Stegostoma tigrinum: one gene and its partner. The protein of the gene in region 1 binds, or shares a complex with, the protein of each later gene. Links are inferred from orthologs where the notes say so. Each region holds a gene or a part of one and is shown on either strand. Other genes may lie near its edges.

Region 1 (7,853 bases):
CTCTCTCACTCCACCTCTCTCTCTCTCTCCCTCCATTTCTCCTCTCTTGCACTCGCTCACTCCATCTCTATTTCTCCTCTCTTGCACTCTCTCACTCCACCTCTCTGTCTCTCCACTTCTCCTCACTTGCACTCTCTCACTCCACCTCTCACTCTCTCTATTTCTCCTCTCTTGCATCTCTAACTCCACCTCTCTCCACGTCTATTTCTTCTCTCTTGCACTCTCTCACTCCATCTTTCTCTCTCTCTCGCTCTATTTCCCCTCTCTCGTACTCTCTAACTCCACCTCTCTCTCTATTTCTCCTCTCTTGCATCTCTCACTCGACCTCTCTCTCTCTATTTCTCCTCTCTTGCACTCTCTCACACCACCTCTATTTCTCCTCTCTTGCACTCTCTCACACCACCTCTCTCTATTTCTTCTCTCTTGCATGTCTCACTCCACGTCCCTCTCTCTCTATTGCTCCTCTCTTGCACTCCCTCACTCCACCCCTCTCTCTCTCTATTTCTCCTCTCTTGCACTCTCTCACACCACCTCTCTCTCTCTCTCTATTTCTCCTCTCTTGCATTCTATCACACCATCACTCTCTGTTTCTCCTCTCTTGCATCTCTCACTCCACCTCTCTCTCTCCCTCTCTCTGTATTTCTCCTCCCTTGCATCTCTCACTCCACCTCTCCCCGTGTATTTCTCCTCTCTCGCACTCTCTCACTCCACCCCTCTCTCTCTATTTCTCCTCTCTTGCATACTCTCACTCCACCTCACTCTCTATTTCTCCTCTCTTGCACTCTCTCACTCCACCTCTCTCTCTGTCTCTATTTCTCCTCTCCTGCACTCTCTCACTCCACCTCTCTCTATTTTTCCTCTCTTGCGCTCTCACTCCATCTCTCTCTCTCTCTATTTCTCCTCACTCGCACTCTCTCACTCAATCTCTCTCTCTCTCCACTTCTCCTCTCTTGCACTCTCTCACTCCACCTCTCTCTCTCTCTCTCTCTATTTCTCCTCTCTTGCATCTCTCACGCCACCTCTCTCTCTCTCTATTTCTCCTCTCTTGCACTCTCTCACTCAACCTCTCTCTCTCTATTTCTCCTCTCTTGCATCTCTCACTCCACCTCTCCCCGTGTATTTCTCCTCTATTGCACTCTCTCACTCCACCTCTCTATTTCTAATCTCTAGCACTCTCTCACTCCACCTCTCTCTCTCTATTACACCTCTCTTGCACTCTCTCACTCCACCTCTCTCTCTCTCTATTTCTCCTCTCTTGCACTCCCTCACTCCATCTCTCTCTCGCTCTCTATTACACCTCTCTTGCACTCTCTCACTCCACCCCTCTCTGTCTATTTCTCCTCTCTTGCACTCTCTCACTCCACCTCTCTCTCTCTATTTCTCCCCTCTTGCACTCTCTCACTCCACCTCTCTCTCTCAACTTCTCCTCTCTTGCACTCTCTCACTCCATCTTTCTCTATTTCTCCTCTCTTGCATCTCTCACGCCACCTCTCTCTCTCTCTCTCTCTATTTCTTCTCTCTTGCACTCTCTCACTCCATCTCTCTCTATTTCTCCTCTCTTGCACTCTCTCACTCCACCTCTCCCCCTCTATTTCTCCTCTCTTGCATCTCTCACTCCACCTCTCTCCCCCTCTATTTCTTCTCTCCTGCACTCTCTCACTCCATCCCTCTCTCTCTATTTCTCCTCTCTTGCATCTCTCACTCCACCTCTCTCCCCCTCTATTTCTTCTCTCTTGCACTCTCTCACTCCACCTCTCTCTCTCTCTATTTCTGCTCTCTTGCACTCGGTCACTCCATCTCTCTCTATTTCTCCTCTCTTGCACTCTCTCACTCCACCTCTCCCCCTCTATTTCTCCTCTCTTGCACTCTCTCTGTCTCTCCACTTCTCCTCTCTTGCACTCTCTCACTCCACCTCTCCCCCTCTATTTCTCCTCTCTTGCACTCTGTCTCTCCACTTCTCCTCTCTTGCACTCTCTCACTCCACCTCTTTATATTTCTTCTCTCTTGCATGTCTCACTCCACCTCCCTCTCTCTCTATTTCTCCTCACTTGCACTCTCTCACTCCATCTCTCTCTATTTCTCCTCTCTCGCGCTCTCTCACTCCACCTCTCTCTCTCTATTTCTCCTCTCTTGCACTCTCTCACTCCATCTCGCTCTCTCTCTCCCTCCATTTCTCCTCTCTTGCACTCGCTCACTCCACCTCTCTGTCTCTCCACTTCTCCTCACTTGCATTCTCTCACTCCACCTCTCACTCTCTCTATTTCTCCTCTCTTGCATCTCTAACTCCACCTCTCTCCACCTCTATTTCTTCTCTCTTGCACTCTCTCACTCCATCTCTCTCTCTCGCTCTATTTCTCCTCTCTCGCACTCTCTCACTCCACTTCTCTCTCTCTCTCTATTTCTCCTCACGCACTCTCACAGTCCACCTCTCTCTCTCTCTCTCTCTCTATTTCTCCTCTCTTGCATCTCTCACTCGACCTCTCTCTCTCTATTTCTCCTCTCTTGCATCTCTCACTCGACCTCTCTCTCTCTACTTCTCCTCTCTTGCACTCTCTCACTCCAGCTCTCTCTCTCTCTCTCTCTCTCTCTATTTCTCCTCTCTTGCACTCTCTCACACCACCTCTCTCTATTTCTTCTCTCTTGCATGTCTCACTCCACGTCCCTCTCTCTCTCTATTGCTCCTCTCTTGCACTCCCTCACTCCACCTCTCTCTCTCTCTATTTCTCCTCTCTTGCGCTCTCTCACTCCACCTCTCTCTCTATTTCTCCTCTCTTGCATCTCTCACTCCACCTCTCTCTCTCTATTTCTCTTCGCTTGCACTCTCTCACTCGAGCTCTCAGCCTCTATTTCTCCTCTCTTGCACTCTCTCACTCCACCTCTCTCTACTTCTCCTCTCTTGCACTCTCTCACTCCAGCTCTCTCACTCTCTCTATTTCTCCTCTCTCGCACTCTCTCACTCCACCTCACTCTCTGTCCATTTCTCCTCTCTTCCACTCTCTCACTCCACCCCTCTCTCTCTATTTCTCATCTCTTGCACTCTCTCACTCCACCTCTCCCCCTCTATTTCTCCTCTCTTGCACTCTCTGTCTCTCCACTTCTCCTCTCTTGCACTCTCTCACTCCACCTCTTTATATTTCTTCTCTCTTGCATGTCTCACTCCACCTCCCTCTCTCTCTATTTCTCCTCACTTGCACTCTCTCACTCCACCTCTCTCTCGCTATTTCTCCTCACCTGCACTCGCTCACTCCACGTCTCTCTTTCTATTTCTCCTCTCTTACATCTCTCACTCCACCTCTCCCCGTCTATTTCTCCTCTCTTGCACTCTTTCACTCCACCTCTCTCTCGACTTCTCCTCTCTTGCACTCTCTCACTCCATCTCTCTCTATTTCTCCTCTCTCGCGCTCTCTCACTCCACCTCTCTCTCTCTCTCCCTCCATTTCTCCTCTCTTGCACTCGCTCACTCCATCTCTATTTCTCCTCTCTTGCACTCTCTCACTCCACCTCTCTGTCTCTCCACTTCTCCTCACTTGCACTCTCTCACTCCACCTCTCACTCTCTCTATTTCTCCTCTCTTGCACTCTCTCACTCAACCTCTCTCTCTCTATTTCTCCTCTCTTGCATCTCTCACTCCACCTCTCCCCGTGTATTTCTCCTCTATTGCACTCTCTCACTCCACCTCTCTATTTCTAATCTCTAGCACTCTCTCACTCCACCTCTCTCTCTCTATTACACCTCTCTTGCACTCTCTCACTCCACCTCTCTCTCTCTCTATTTCTCCTCTCTTGCACTCCCTCACTCCATCTCTCTCTCGCTCTCTATTACACCTCTCTTGCACTCTCTCACTCCACCCCTCTCTGTCTATTTCTCCTCTCTTGCACTCTCTCACTCCACCTCTCTCTCTCTATTTCTCCCCTCTTGCACTCTCTCACTCCACCTCTCTCTCTCAACTTCTCCTCTCTTGCACTCTCTCACTCCATCTTCCTCTATTTCTCCTCTCTTGCATCTCTCACGCCACCTCTCTCTCTATCTATTTCTCCTCTCTTGCACTCTTTCACTCCACCTCTCTCTCTATTTCTCCTCTCTTGCACTCTCTCACTCCATCTCTCTCTATGTCTCCTCTCTTGCACCGTCTCACTGCACCTCTCTCTTTATGTCTCCTCTCGCGCTCTCTCACTCCACCTCTCTCTCTATTTCTTCTGTCGCACTCTCGCACTCCACCTCTCCCTCCCTCTCTTGTCTCCCCCCCCCCCCTCCCCCTCCCCCTCCCCCCCCTCCCCCTCCCCCCCCTCCCCCTCCCCCTCCCCCCCCCCTCCCCCCCCCCCCCCCCCTCCCCCCCCCCCCCTCCCCCTCCCCCCCCCCTCCCCCTCCCCCTCCCCCCCCCCCCCTCCCCCTCCCCCTCCCCCCCCCCCCCTCCCCCCCCCCCCCCCCTCCCCCTCCCCCTCCCCCTCCCCCCCCCCCCTCCCCCCCCCCCTCCTCCCCCCCCCTCCCCCCCCCCCCTCCTCCCCCCCCCTCCCCCCCCCCCCTCCTCCCCCTCCCTCCCCCCCCCCCCTCCTCCCCCCCCCTCCCCCCCCCTCCTCCCCTCCTCCCCCCCCCTCCCCCCCCCTCCTCCCCCCCCCTCGTGTGTATTGCTGCGGTTCTCCCCGCCCCGTCCCGTCTCTTGTTGCCCCGGTGACCCTCACCACGCCCCCAATCCCACAATGCTCCTCTCACCATGGATCAGGGTAATGGACGTTTTTCTCCCGCTTTCCCTTCCTCTCTCGCTTTTCCTTTCTTCTTCGCGCCGGGTTTGGGCCCCGTGCGTTCTCTCCGGTTGCTGCGGGAGGCGAGTCTGTCAACGCGCCCGACTGTGAGTAACCTCCGGCTGGAGCGGGACTGAGGCGGCTTGACGATTACTCGAGAGCGGCCTAAACCGCCCGGAGTCCCCGCGGTAAAGTGCCGGACCGCCTGTCGCTGTGATCACCACTCCCCTCCTTCCTCCCATGCACTCTCTACACCTTGATTATCCCCATCGCCCTGATCTTGCTCCGACACCCTGATCATCGCCTACTCTCATCCCACCCCCCCCGCACTCCTTCATCTTCCCCCCTCACCTCCCCCCCCCACTCCCTCACCTCCCCCCCCACTCCCTCACCTCCCCCCCCACTCCCTCACCTCCCCCCCCCAACTCCCTCACCTCCCCCCCCCACTCCCTCACCTCCCCCCCCCACTCCCTCACCTCCCCCCCCCACTCCCTCACCTCCCCCCCCCACTCCCTCACCTCCCCCCCCCACTCCCTCACCTCCCCCCCCCACTCCCTCACCTCCCCCCCCCCACTCCCTCACCTCCCCCCCCCACTCCCTCACCTCCCCCCCCCACTCCCTCACCTCCCCCCCCCTCCCTCACCTCCCCCCCCCACTCCCTCACCTCCCCCCCCACTCCCTCACCTCCCCCCCCACTCCCTCACCTCCCCCCCCACTCCCTCACCTCCCCCCCCACTCCCTCACCTCCCCCCACTCCCTCACCTCCCCCCACTCCCTCACCTCCCCCCACTCCCTCACCTCCCCCCACTCCCTCACCTCCCCCCACTCCCTCATCTCCCCCCACTCCCTCATCTCCCCCCACTCCCTCATCTCACCCCCCTCCCCCTCCTCACCTACCCCCCTCCCCCTCCTCACCCCCCCTCCCCCTCATCTCACCCCCCCTCCCCCTCATCTCACCCCCCCTCCCCCTCATCTCACCCCCCCTCCCCCTCATCTCACCCCCCCTCCCCCTCATCTCACCCCCCCTCCCCCTCATCTCACCCCCCCTCCCCCTCATCTCACTCCCCCTCCCCCTCATCTCACCCCCCCTCCCCCTCATCTCACCCCCCCTCCCCCTCATCTCACCCCCCCTCCCCCTCATCTCACCCCCCCTCCCCCTCATCTCACCCCCCCTCCCCCTCATCTCACCCCCCCTCCCCCTCATCTCACCTCCCCCTCCCCCTCACCCCCCCTCCCCCTCATCTCACCCCCCCCTCATCTCACCCCCCCCTCATCTCACCCCCCCTCCCCCTCATCTCACCCCCCCTCCCCCTCATCTCACCCCCCCTCCCCCTCATCTCACCCCCCCTCCCCCTCATCTCACCCCCCCTCCCCCTCATCTCACCCCCCCTCCCCCTCATCTCACCCCCCCTCCCCCTCATCTCACCCCCCCTACCCCTCATCTCACCCCCCCTACCCCTCATCTCACCCCCCCTACCCCTCATCTCACCCCCCCTACCCCTCATCTCACCCCCCCTACCCCTCATCTCACCCCCCCTCCCCCTCATCTCACCCCCCCTCCCCCTCATCTCACCCCCCCTCCCCCTCATCTCACCCCCCCTACCCCTCATCTCACCCCCCCTACCCCTCATCTCACCCCCCCTACCCCTCATCTCACCCCCCTCCCCCTCATCTCCCCCCCTCCCCCTCATCTCCCCCCCCCTCCCCCTCATCTCCCCCCCCTCCCCCTCATCTCCCCCCCCCCCCTCATCTCCCTCCCTCCCCCTCATCTCCCCCCCCCACTCCCTCATCTCCCCCCCCACTCCCTCATCTCCCCCCCCCACTCCCTCATCTCCCCCCCCCACTCCCTCATCTCCCCCCCCACTCCCTCATCTCCCCCCCCCCACTCCCTCATCTCCCCCCCCCCACTCCCTCATCTCCCCCCCCCCACTCCCTCATCTCCCCCCCCCCACTCCCTCATCTCCCCCCCCCCACTCCCTCATCTCCCCCCCCCCCACTCCCTCCTCTCCCCCCCCCACTCCCTCCTCTCCCCCCCACTCCCTCCTCTCCCCCCCACTCCCTCCTCTCCCCCCCACTCCCTCATCTCCCCCCCCCACTCCCTCATCTCCCCCCCCCACTCCCTCATCTCCCCCCCCACTCCCTCCTCTCCCCCCCCACTCCCTCCTCTCCCCCCCCACTCCCTCCTCTCCCCCCCACTCCCTCCTCTCCCCCCCCACTCCCTCCTCTCCCCCCCCACTCCCTCCTCTCCCCCCCCCACTCCCTCCTCTCCCCCCCCACTCCCTCCTCTCCCCCCCCACTCCCTCCTCTCCCCCCCCACTCCCTCCTCTCCCCCCCCACTCCCTCCTCTCCCCCCCCACTCCCTCCTCTCCCCCCCCACTCCCTCATCTCCCCCCCCCACTCCCTCATCTCCCCCCCCCCACTCCCTCATCTCCCCCCCCCCACTCCCTCATCTCCCCCCCCCCACTCCCTCATCTCCCCCCCCCACTCCCTCATCTCCCCCCCCCACTCCCTCATCTCCCCCCCCCACTCCCTCATCTCCCCCCCCACTCCCTCATCTCCCCCCCCACTCCCTCATCTCCCCCCCCACTCCCTCATCTCCCCCCCCCACTCCCTCATCTCCCCCCCCCCACTCCCTCATCTCCCCCGATCTCCTTCCCACCCGCTGATCCCCACCCTGATCCCCCCCGACCCCACCCTGATCCCCCCCCGACTCCTCTTCCCTCACCCTTGTATAGCCCTCTCCCTCTTCCACGATGCCCTCTTATCCCACTTTCTCCCCTGCACCCTTTCCCCCAGACCCCTCCCATACCCTACCCTACCCATTCTTTCCTCCCCCCTTTGCACTCCCCCACCTCCAGCCGCCAGTATTGCGCATAAGCAGAAAGTCATGTATTTAAGACGTTTTTTGTTTTATTTTCAAAAGATAAAGATCTGCAAGGCACAGATGGTTCTGGATGTCTGAGTGGCATTGATGTTCGAAGACGTATCCCCATCAAGTTAATCTCTAAACAGTCTAACCGAAATAGAATCTCATCCCGTGTTCAGAGGAATATGAGCAGAAACTCTGCAAAGTCTCTCACTGCAGATGAAGGTGACAGGATGATAGCTTCATTA
Region 2 (7,326 bases), on another chromosome or scaffold:
TGCTTTTGCTTCTACATCACATGCTCTTATAAAAATCCAGTCCTTGGATTATAATAGGTTGCAAACTAGCCACCTACATGGATGGTGTGGATGGAGTGTTCTTGGCACTGCCTTCAGCCAAGGAAGCATTCATTAAAGCTTTGATGGATCAGAAAATAAAATAAGCCACTCGAAGAATAACAGACACACAAATGTTGATCTATTTGCATTTTACCAGAACATTGATGTTAGCAGACCAAGTGCCATTGTACAGTTGACAAAATAGTTTACTGCTCTCAAGAAACAGGCTAAACAATATTATTATTATGCTACTCCTACACTGCCTGGTCTCCTGTGTAAGGCAACTATAAATAGGCTACACCTTCAATGCTCTTGGTGTGATATTAGAAATCCTTTGGAGATAAAAGTTAAATCCATTGGGCCATGAACTTTAGAAAACATGTAACATCAGCACTATATAACAGCGGGAGAATTTGACTGAGTACTCAAGAAGAAAACATCAAATAGCTTTAAAAATAGGAATTTAGTTGATTGACTGGGCAAATGATGAGCTGTGGGAGTGTAAGTGTTTTATTCATTCAAGACATACCATGACTGCTGATTTAACATTTTTAGGCTATCTATTCTCAATAATTATCTGTTACGCATAGGGAATGTACAACTATACAAAATAGTATCTGGTTTGTTGAACAAGAAGTTTCATTTATTAGTACATTTGAAAGTTTTCAAGTTTTCCTTTAAACAAAATATAATCTTTATCCTGGAACTTTTTTTTTGGTTTTGGTAAGCAAATGGACTTCCAAAGCAAGGAGCTCAATTTGATGGCTGTAAAACAGCATATTCCTCATTTCACACTTCCAGGAGCAGTGCAGAATTCCATATGGAGTAAGGCTCTCAGCTACACTGACAAACCAGACATGGGTGAGGTTAATAAGACAAGCAGGGGACGCTTGATGATACAGGTGATATGTCTGGACCTCAAACATATGAAACTCTGAATGACAGAGGGTGCTTGCTCACTACTTCTGGAGTGGAGCAAAGAATTAGGACTGAGAACAAACTTATTACAGTTCAACTGTGGTAAGTCTGGTCAGAGACATGACAAAAATTAAGTCAGTACAAAAAATCATGGTGGCCAGAATGAACCCAGGAAGAGCAGGTATAAACAATTTTTTTTTGCTACTTTTCTCACATTTAATTACCTTATGATCGCCACGTGATTGATAATATCACTTTGGATCCACAGGATCCATTCACTTATAAAACAACACAACTTTGGGATTACATAGAATAAAACAAATACATTTTATTCAGATGTGTGACTCTTGACTGACAACCTATGCAATCTATGCTTTATTCCTACTGACACAATCTTTATGATGGTGGTTATTCACTTACGAAAGAGAACAAAACACAGTTTCACTGTATTCCACATGCATGCCCCGCACATCATAAGCCAATCTCCTCATCCCATCACTACTGCACTCTTAACTGCTATGTTGCACCCAACTTGTTCAATTAGAATAAATTCTCATTTACTTAAAATAACGATAAGGTAATGAAAAATGAACAGTGGCATGTGTTAAAACATTGGATACCAGTATCTTAAAACTGCAAACAAAAACCCACAAGAAATAGCAACATAAAAACAGGTCGTTTAACATGTTGTGTCTGTGTTGGTTGTTGAAATAGGTCCTCACTTTCTGTTCATTACCTTTTATCTCATCTTCAATTTTTTTTTGTTTATGAGATAGTTTTTGAAAGTTTGATTAGGAGCAAGCCTGCATCAAATGTTCAGGTGAAACATTTCACATCTTGGCAACTATATGTGAAAATACTCTCCTCTTTCTTTTTAGTTCTTTTGGAAATGATATTAAGCGCACCACAGTCACCAAGCTGAGAAGGTTTTTTGTTGTTCAATTTTAACAAGCGTCACATCATCTTGAAAACCCCTAAGATCATAATCATCTCTATTGGGGAGGACCATCATAACTGCACCAAGTTTTTCTCAAAACCAAAATCCTCCAACCTTCCCAGCAAACAGGTAAAGCTTAGTTTACCCTTTTTAAGGCCTCTTTCTTGAAATGTAGTGTTCAGAGTGATCCACAATGCCCCAGGTGAGGTCAAACTGGAGGTTTATTGAGACCTACAATTAACTATTTGTTGTTGTTTGCTATATGTTTATTGTATATGAGACTGAACTTTATTAAAATACAGACAAGCTCATTTCATGTTGTGAAACTCATTGAAATACTCTACACGCAGATCTACAATAATCACTGATATAAGATAACAAAGTGTGGGGCTGGATGAACACAGCAGGCCAAGCAGCATCTTAGGAGCACAAAAGCTGATGTTTCGGGCCTGGACCCTTCATCAGAGAGGGGGATGGGGAGAGGATTCTGAAATAAATAGGGAGAGAGGGCAAGGCGGACTGAAGATGGATAGAGGATAAGATAGGTAGAGAAGAAAGTATGGGTGGGAAGGTAGGAAGGGGATAGGTCAGTCCAGGGAGGACGGACAGGTCAAGGGGTTGGGATGAGGTTAGTAGGCAGGAAATGGAGGTGCGGCTTGAGGTGGGAGGAGGGGATAGGTGAGAGGAAGAACAGGTTAGGCAGGCGGGGAAGAGCTTGGCTGGTTTTGGGATGCAGTGGGGGAATTGGAGATTTTGAAGCTGGTGAAATCCACATTGATGCCATTGGGTTCCCAAGCGGAATATGAGTTGCTGTTCCTGCAACCTACGGGTGGCATCATTATGGCACTGCACGAGGCCCAGGATGGACATGTCGACTTAAGGAATGGGAGGGGGAGTTAAAATGGTTCGTGACTGGGAGGTGCAGTTGTTTCCTGCGAACCGAGCGGAGGTGTTATGCAAAGCAGTCTCCAAGCCTCCACTTGGTTTCCCCAATGTAGAGGAAGCCACAACGGGTACAGTGGATGCAGTATACCACATTGGCGGATGTGCAGGTGAGCGTCTGCTTGATGTGGAAAGTCTTCTTGGGGCCTGGAATGGGCGTGAGGGAGATGGTGTGAGGGTAGGTGTAGCACTTCCTGCGGTTGCAGGGGCAAGTGTCTGGTGTGGTGGGGTTGGAGGGGAGTGTGGAGCGGACAAGGGGGTCGTGGTCTCTCCAGAAGGCAGACAAGGGTGGGGTGGAAAAAATGTCTTTAGTGGGTGGGGTCGGATTGTAGATGGCGGAAGTGTTGGAGGATGATGTGCTGTATCCAGAGGTTGGTGGGGTGGTACGTGAGGACTAGGGGGATTGTCTTATGGCGGTTATTGCAAGGGCAAGGTGTGGGGGATGAGGTGCAGGAAATGCGGGAGGCACGGTTGAGGGCATTTTCGACCACTCCGGGAGAGAAGTTGCAGACCTTGAAGAACAAGGACATCTGGGATGTGCAGGAGTGGAATGCCTCATCCTGGGAGCAGATGCGGCGGAGGCGAAGCAATTGGGAATAGGGGATGAAATTTTTGCAGGAAGGCGGGTGGGAGGAAGTGTATTCCAGGTAGCTGTGGGAGTCAGTGGGCTTGAAATGGACATCGGTTTGTAGGTGGTTGCCTGAGATGGAGACAGAAAGGTCCAGGAAGGTAAGGGATGTGTTGGAGATGGTCCAGGTGAACTTGAGGTTGGGGTGGCAGGTGTTGGGGAAATGGATAAACTGTTCGAGCTCCTCTGGGTAGCATGAGGCAGTGTCGATACAGTCATCAATGTAACGGAGGAAAAGGTGGGGTTTTGGGCCAGTGTAGGTGCGAAAGGGGGACTGTTCCACATAACCTACAAAGAGGCAGGTGTATGGGCACCCCCTTATTCTGTAAGAAGTGGGAGGAATCGAAAGAGAAGTTGTTGAGGCTGAGGTCGAGTTCGGCTAGGCAGCTGAGGGTTTCGGTGGAGGGGGACTGGTCCGGTCTACGGGACAGGAAGATGCGGAGGGTCTTAAGGTCATCTGCATAGGGAATGCAGGTGTATAGGGACTGGACGTCCATGGTGAAAATGAGGTGTTGGGGACTGGGGAATTGGAAGCGTTGCCCTTAACAGCATCCATTCCAGCTCACAAACCCATCTGCGGACACGGCTCCGCCGACACATATACCGCCACGCCCACACATACCCGGGGGAGCTGACACATACTCGACCACGCCCACATAGGCACCCACGCCCACACACCCTGCTGCGCCGACACATACTCGACTACGCCCACACAGACAACCACACACACACACCCGACCACGCCCACACACGCTCCGCTCCGCACGAACAGACTCGGCACCGTTTACACATACGCGGTCTGCCTATAAGTGGATAAGAGGGTCTCTGATGAAGGGTCTAGGCCCGAAACGTCAGCTTTTGTGCTCCTGCGATGCTGCTTAGCCTGCTGTGTTCATCCAGCCTCACATTTTATTGTCTTGGATTCTCCAGCATCTGCAGTTCCCATTATCTCTGCCTATAAGTGGTACCACCCACAACGACTCGGCCCTGCCCCTGTTTTACCGAGACCCGCCCCTGCGCTTACCGCCACGGCCGCCCCGCTCTGCGGTGTTACGTCGTGGCGTGCACCGCTGGAAGTGATGTAGAAACTTGGTCGCGCGGACGGAAGGTCAGATCCGGTGAGGGGGTGGGGTGTGCGGGCTACCGACTATGGACAGCCGTTTGCAGGAGATCCGAGAGCGGCAGAAACGGCGGCGTGAACTGTTAGCCCAGCAGGTGAGAGCCATTGTCTTCACACCCCCGGTGACAGTATTCCCGGGAGCACTTCAGATCCAGCGCCTGGTTTAAAAGGAGCGATCAGTTTAGGTACATCTGAGGCCGGGCTTCGGTGAGGCCGGCACAGGAGGTCGTTCATTCCACGGTGTTTGCACTAAATCTCAAAAAGAGCGATTCACCTGGCTTCTTTGTTCTGTCTGTAACCCTCCACGTAACCGTCCATCTCCCTTTCGGAAATTTCGATTGAACCTACCCGTTTTTTATTTCATTATTGTCATATCTATCTAAGTACAGGTGAAAAATTTTGTTTTTCGTGTCTTACGGCAGATCACAACATTAAAAGATACAAGGGTCATAGGGTGATTGAACAGAATGAGGAATGCAAAGTTACAGCTGCAAAGAAGGTGTGCAAAAGTAAGGTTAACACTAGATTTGAAGTTTGAGTTCCATTCACCTGTGTAATAAAGACAGGGGAAAAATGCTGTTCTTGAACCTGTTGATATATATGTTTAATGTGTTGTATCTTCTGAGGTTGGAAGAGAGTATAACTGGTGTAGGAGGGGTGTTTGATGTTGGCTGCTTTTCTGCGGCATTGCGAGTAGATGGAGTCAGTGGATGGAAGGTTGGCTTGTGTGATGGCCTGACCTGTATTCACAACTTAGTGTAGTTTCTTACAGTTCTAGGCACAGCAGTTGATGTGCTAAGCCATGATGCGTTCAGATAGAATGTTTTCTGTGGTGCATTTGTAAAGGTTGGTGAAGGTCCTTAAGGACTTGCTGAATTCCCTTAGCCTTCTGAGGAAGAAGAGGTGTTTTGCCACCTTGACTGCTGCATGAATTCATGCAGTCCAAGATGGATTGTTGGTTATGTTCTCTCCTAGGAAGTTGATGCTGTTACCCACCTCCATTGATGTAGATGTGTTCTCCTTGCTTTCTGAAGTCAATGATCAGCTCTTTAGTTTTGCTGACAGTAAGGGAAAGATTATCTTTGCACCATGTCACTGATTACTGTGTTCCTTTCCTGTATTGTATCTCATTGTTTTTTGATATTCAGCCTAATATGGTGGTGGTGTCAGCAAACTTGTTGATGGACTTCCTCAGGAGGCTAAGGGAATTTGGCAAGTCCTTAAGGACCCTCACCAACCTTTACAAATGCACCCAGGGAGTGGTGAGCCTGTGGAATTCACTACCATAAAGTGTTTGAGGCCAAAACATTGTATTTTCTAGAAGGAGGTAGAAATAGCGCTTGTAGCTGAAGGAATCGAGGAAAATGGGGGGAAAGATGGGATTATGGTAATGAACTTGATGACCAGCCGTAATCACGTTGAATGACGAAACATGCTTGAGGGGTTGAATGACTTCCCTTATGCACCTTCTGTGTTTTTGTGCAACTCCTATCTCTACAGATGCTGCCAAACCTGCTCAATTCCTCTGTACTTTTTTCAATTTGAATCAATCTATCTGCTGCTTTTGATAAGTCATCCAGTTGAGTGGTGCCTGCTGTCATTTGGTTTCATTCTTAATCGCACCTAAGGAACCACTCGAATGGTTTCTCTTCCTGCTCCAATCATTACTGCTGGTGTTCCTTAATGATCCTTCTTTGTTCCCCTTTGTACTGGCTGCTGCCTCTTGATGATATAATGTGAAAGCACATAAATGTTTCGCTTCCGCTCCTATACTCAGCTCTATCTTCCATCATCTCTTATGACTATCTACTGTGAGCTGCTCCTTCAACATCCAGTCCTGGATAAACAGGAAATTCCTCCAGTGAAGTATGTGGGATACTTAAACTAAGGTCTTCTGTCCTGACTACAAACTCCGTTCCCAATCCAAACACACCATTGCTCTCGCTGATAACTGTTTTTGTCCTTGGTTTGTTTAAACCCATGATGAACTTTTTAATTGCACATCTCTAAAACACCTACTTCCGTATTCCATGATATTGACTGTTTCAGCATCTGCCCCTTCCCCCACTCACATCTGCTGAAACTGTGCTCGTTTCTTTGTTATCAGTAGGCTTGACTATTCTCTCTTGTAAGTTCTTTCTGTAAAGTGTCTGCAGAATTTTGAATGTCATCAGATTTCCCAGTTAGTATGACATCTTGTTGATCACCCTGTCATTGCCAACCAACATTGGCTCCTAGTTAAACCAACTTTTACAGTGTTCATCCTTGTTATCGCTGAATGGCCTTGGCTCTTTCTGCCTTCTCTTCATCCGATCCATAACCCTTTGAGTTATCTGCATTACTCTCCTGGCCTTTTGTACATCTCATTTTTAATCACTCCTGCAGTGGTATTATTGCTAGACTGTTAATCCAAAGACCCTGGTAATGGTATAGGGAAGCTGCATTCAAATCCCACCATGACAGATGGTGGAATTTGAATTGAATAAATATCTGGAATTAAGAATCTAAAGATGACTGTGAATCCACTGTCATTTGTCAGGAAAAAAAAATCCAGTTCACTAAAGTCCTTTAGGAAAGGAAACTACCACCCTGACCTGGTCTAGCTTACATGTGATTCCATATCCACAGCAATGCTGTTGATTCTTAACTGCCCTCTGGGAAATTAGGGATGGGCAGTAAATACTGACCTAGTGTCCTAGCCAGAGATGCCCTCATCCCATG

What was found.
Region 2: E3 ubiquitin-protein ligase Hakai (region 1) and mettl14 share a complex: the UniProt entries of both Homo sapiens proteins name them as parts of the WMM complex. The link is inferred for Stegostoma tigrinum from reciprocal best matches to the Homo sapiens genes CBLL1 and METTL14.

What each region holds. Positions count from the first base shown.
Region 1 is NC_081378.1:53,898,111-53,905,963, reverse strand, and holds the start of E3 ubiquitin-protein ligase Hakai, read left to right. Parts: upstream 1-4,678; 5' UTR 4,679-4,711; coding exon 4,712-4,721; intron 4,722-4,819; exon of another isoform or gene 4,820-4,927; intron 4,928-7,662; coding exon 7,663-7,830; intron 7,831-7,853. UniProt on the Homo sapiens protein: E3 ubiquitin-protein ligase that mediates ubiquitination of several tyrosine-phosphorylated Src substrates, including CDH1, CTTN and DOK1. Targets CDH1 for endocytosis and degradation.
Region 2 is NC_081354.1:67,559,269-67,566,594, forward strand, and holds the start of mettl14 (N6-adenosine-methyltransferase non-catalytic subunit), read left to right. Parts: upstream 1-4,286; 5' UTR 4,287-4,634; coding exon 4,635-4,700; intron 4,701-7,326. UniProt on the Homo sapiens protein: The METTL3-METTL14 heterodimer forms a N6-methyltransferase complex that methylates adenosine residues at the N(6) position of some mRNAs and regulates the circadian clock, differentiation of embryonic stem cells and cortical neurogenesis.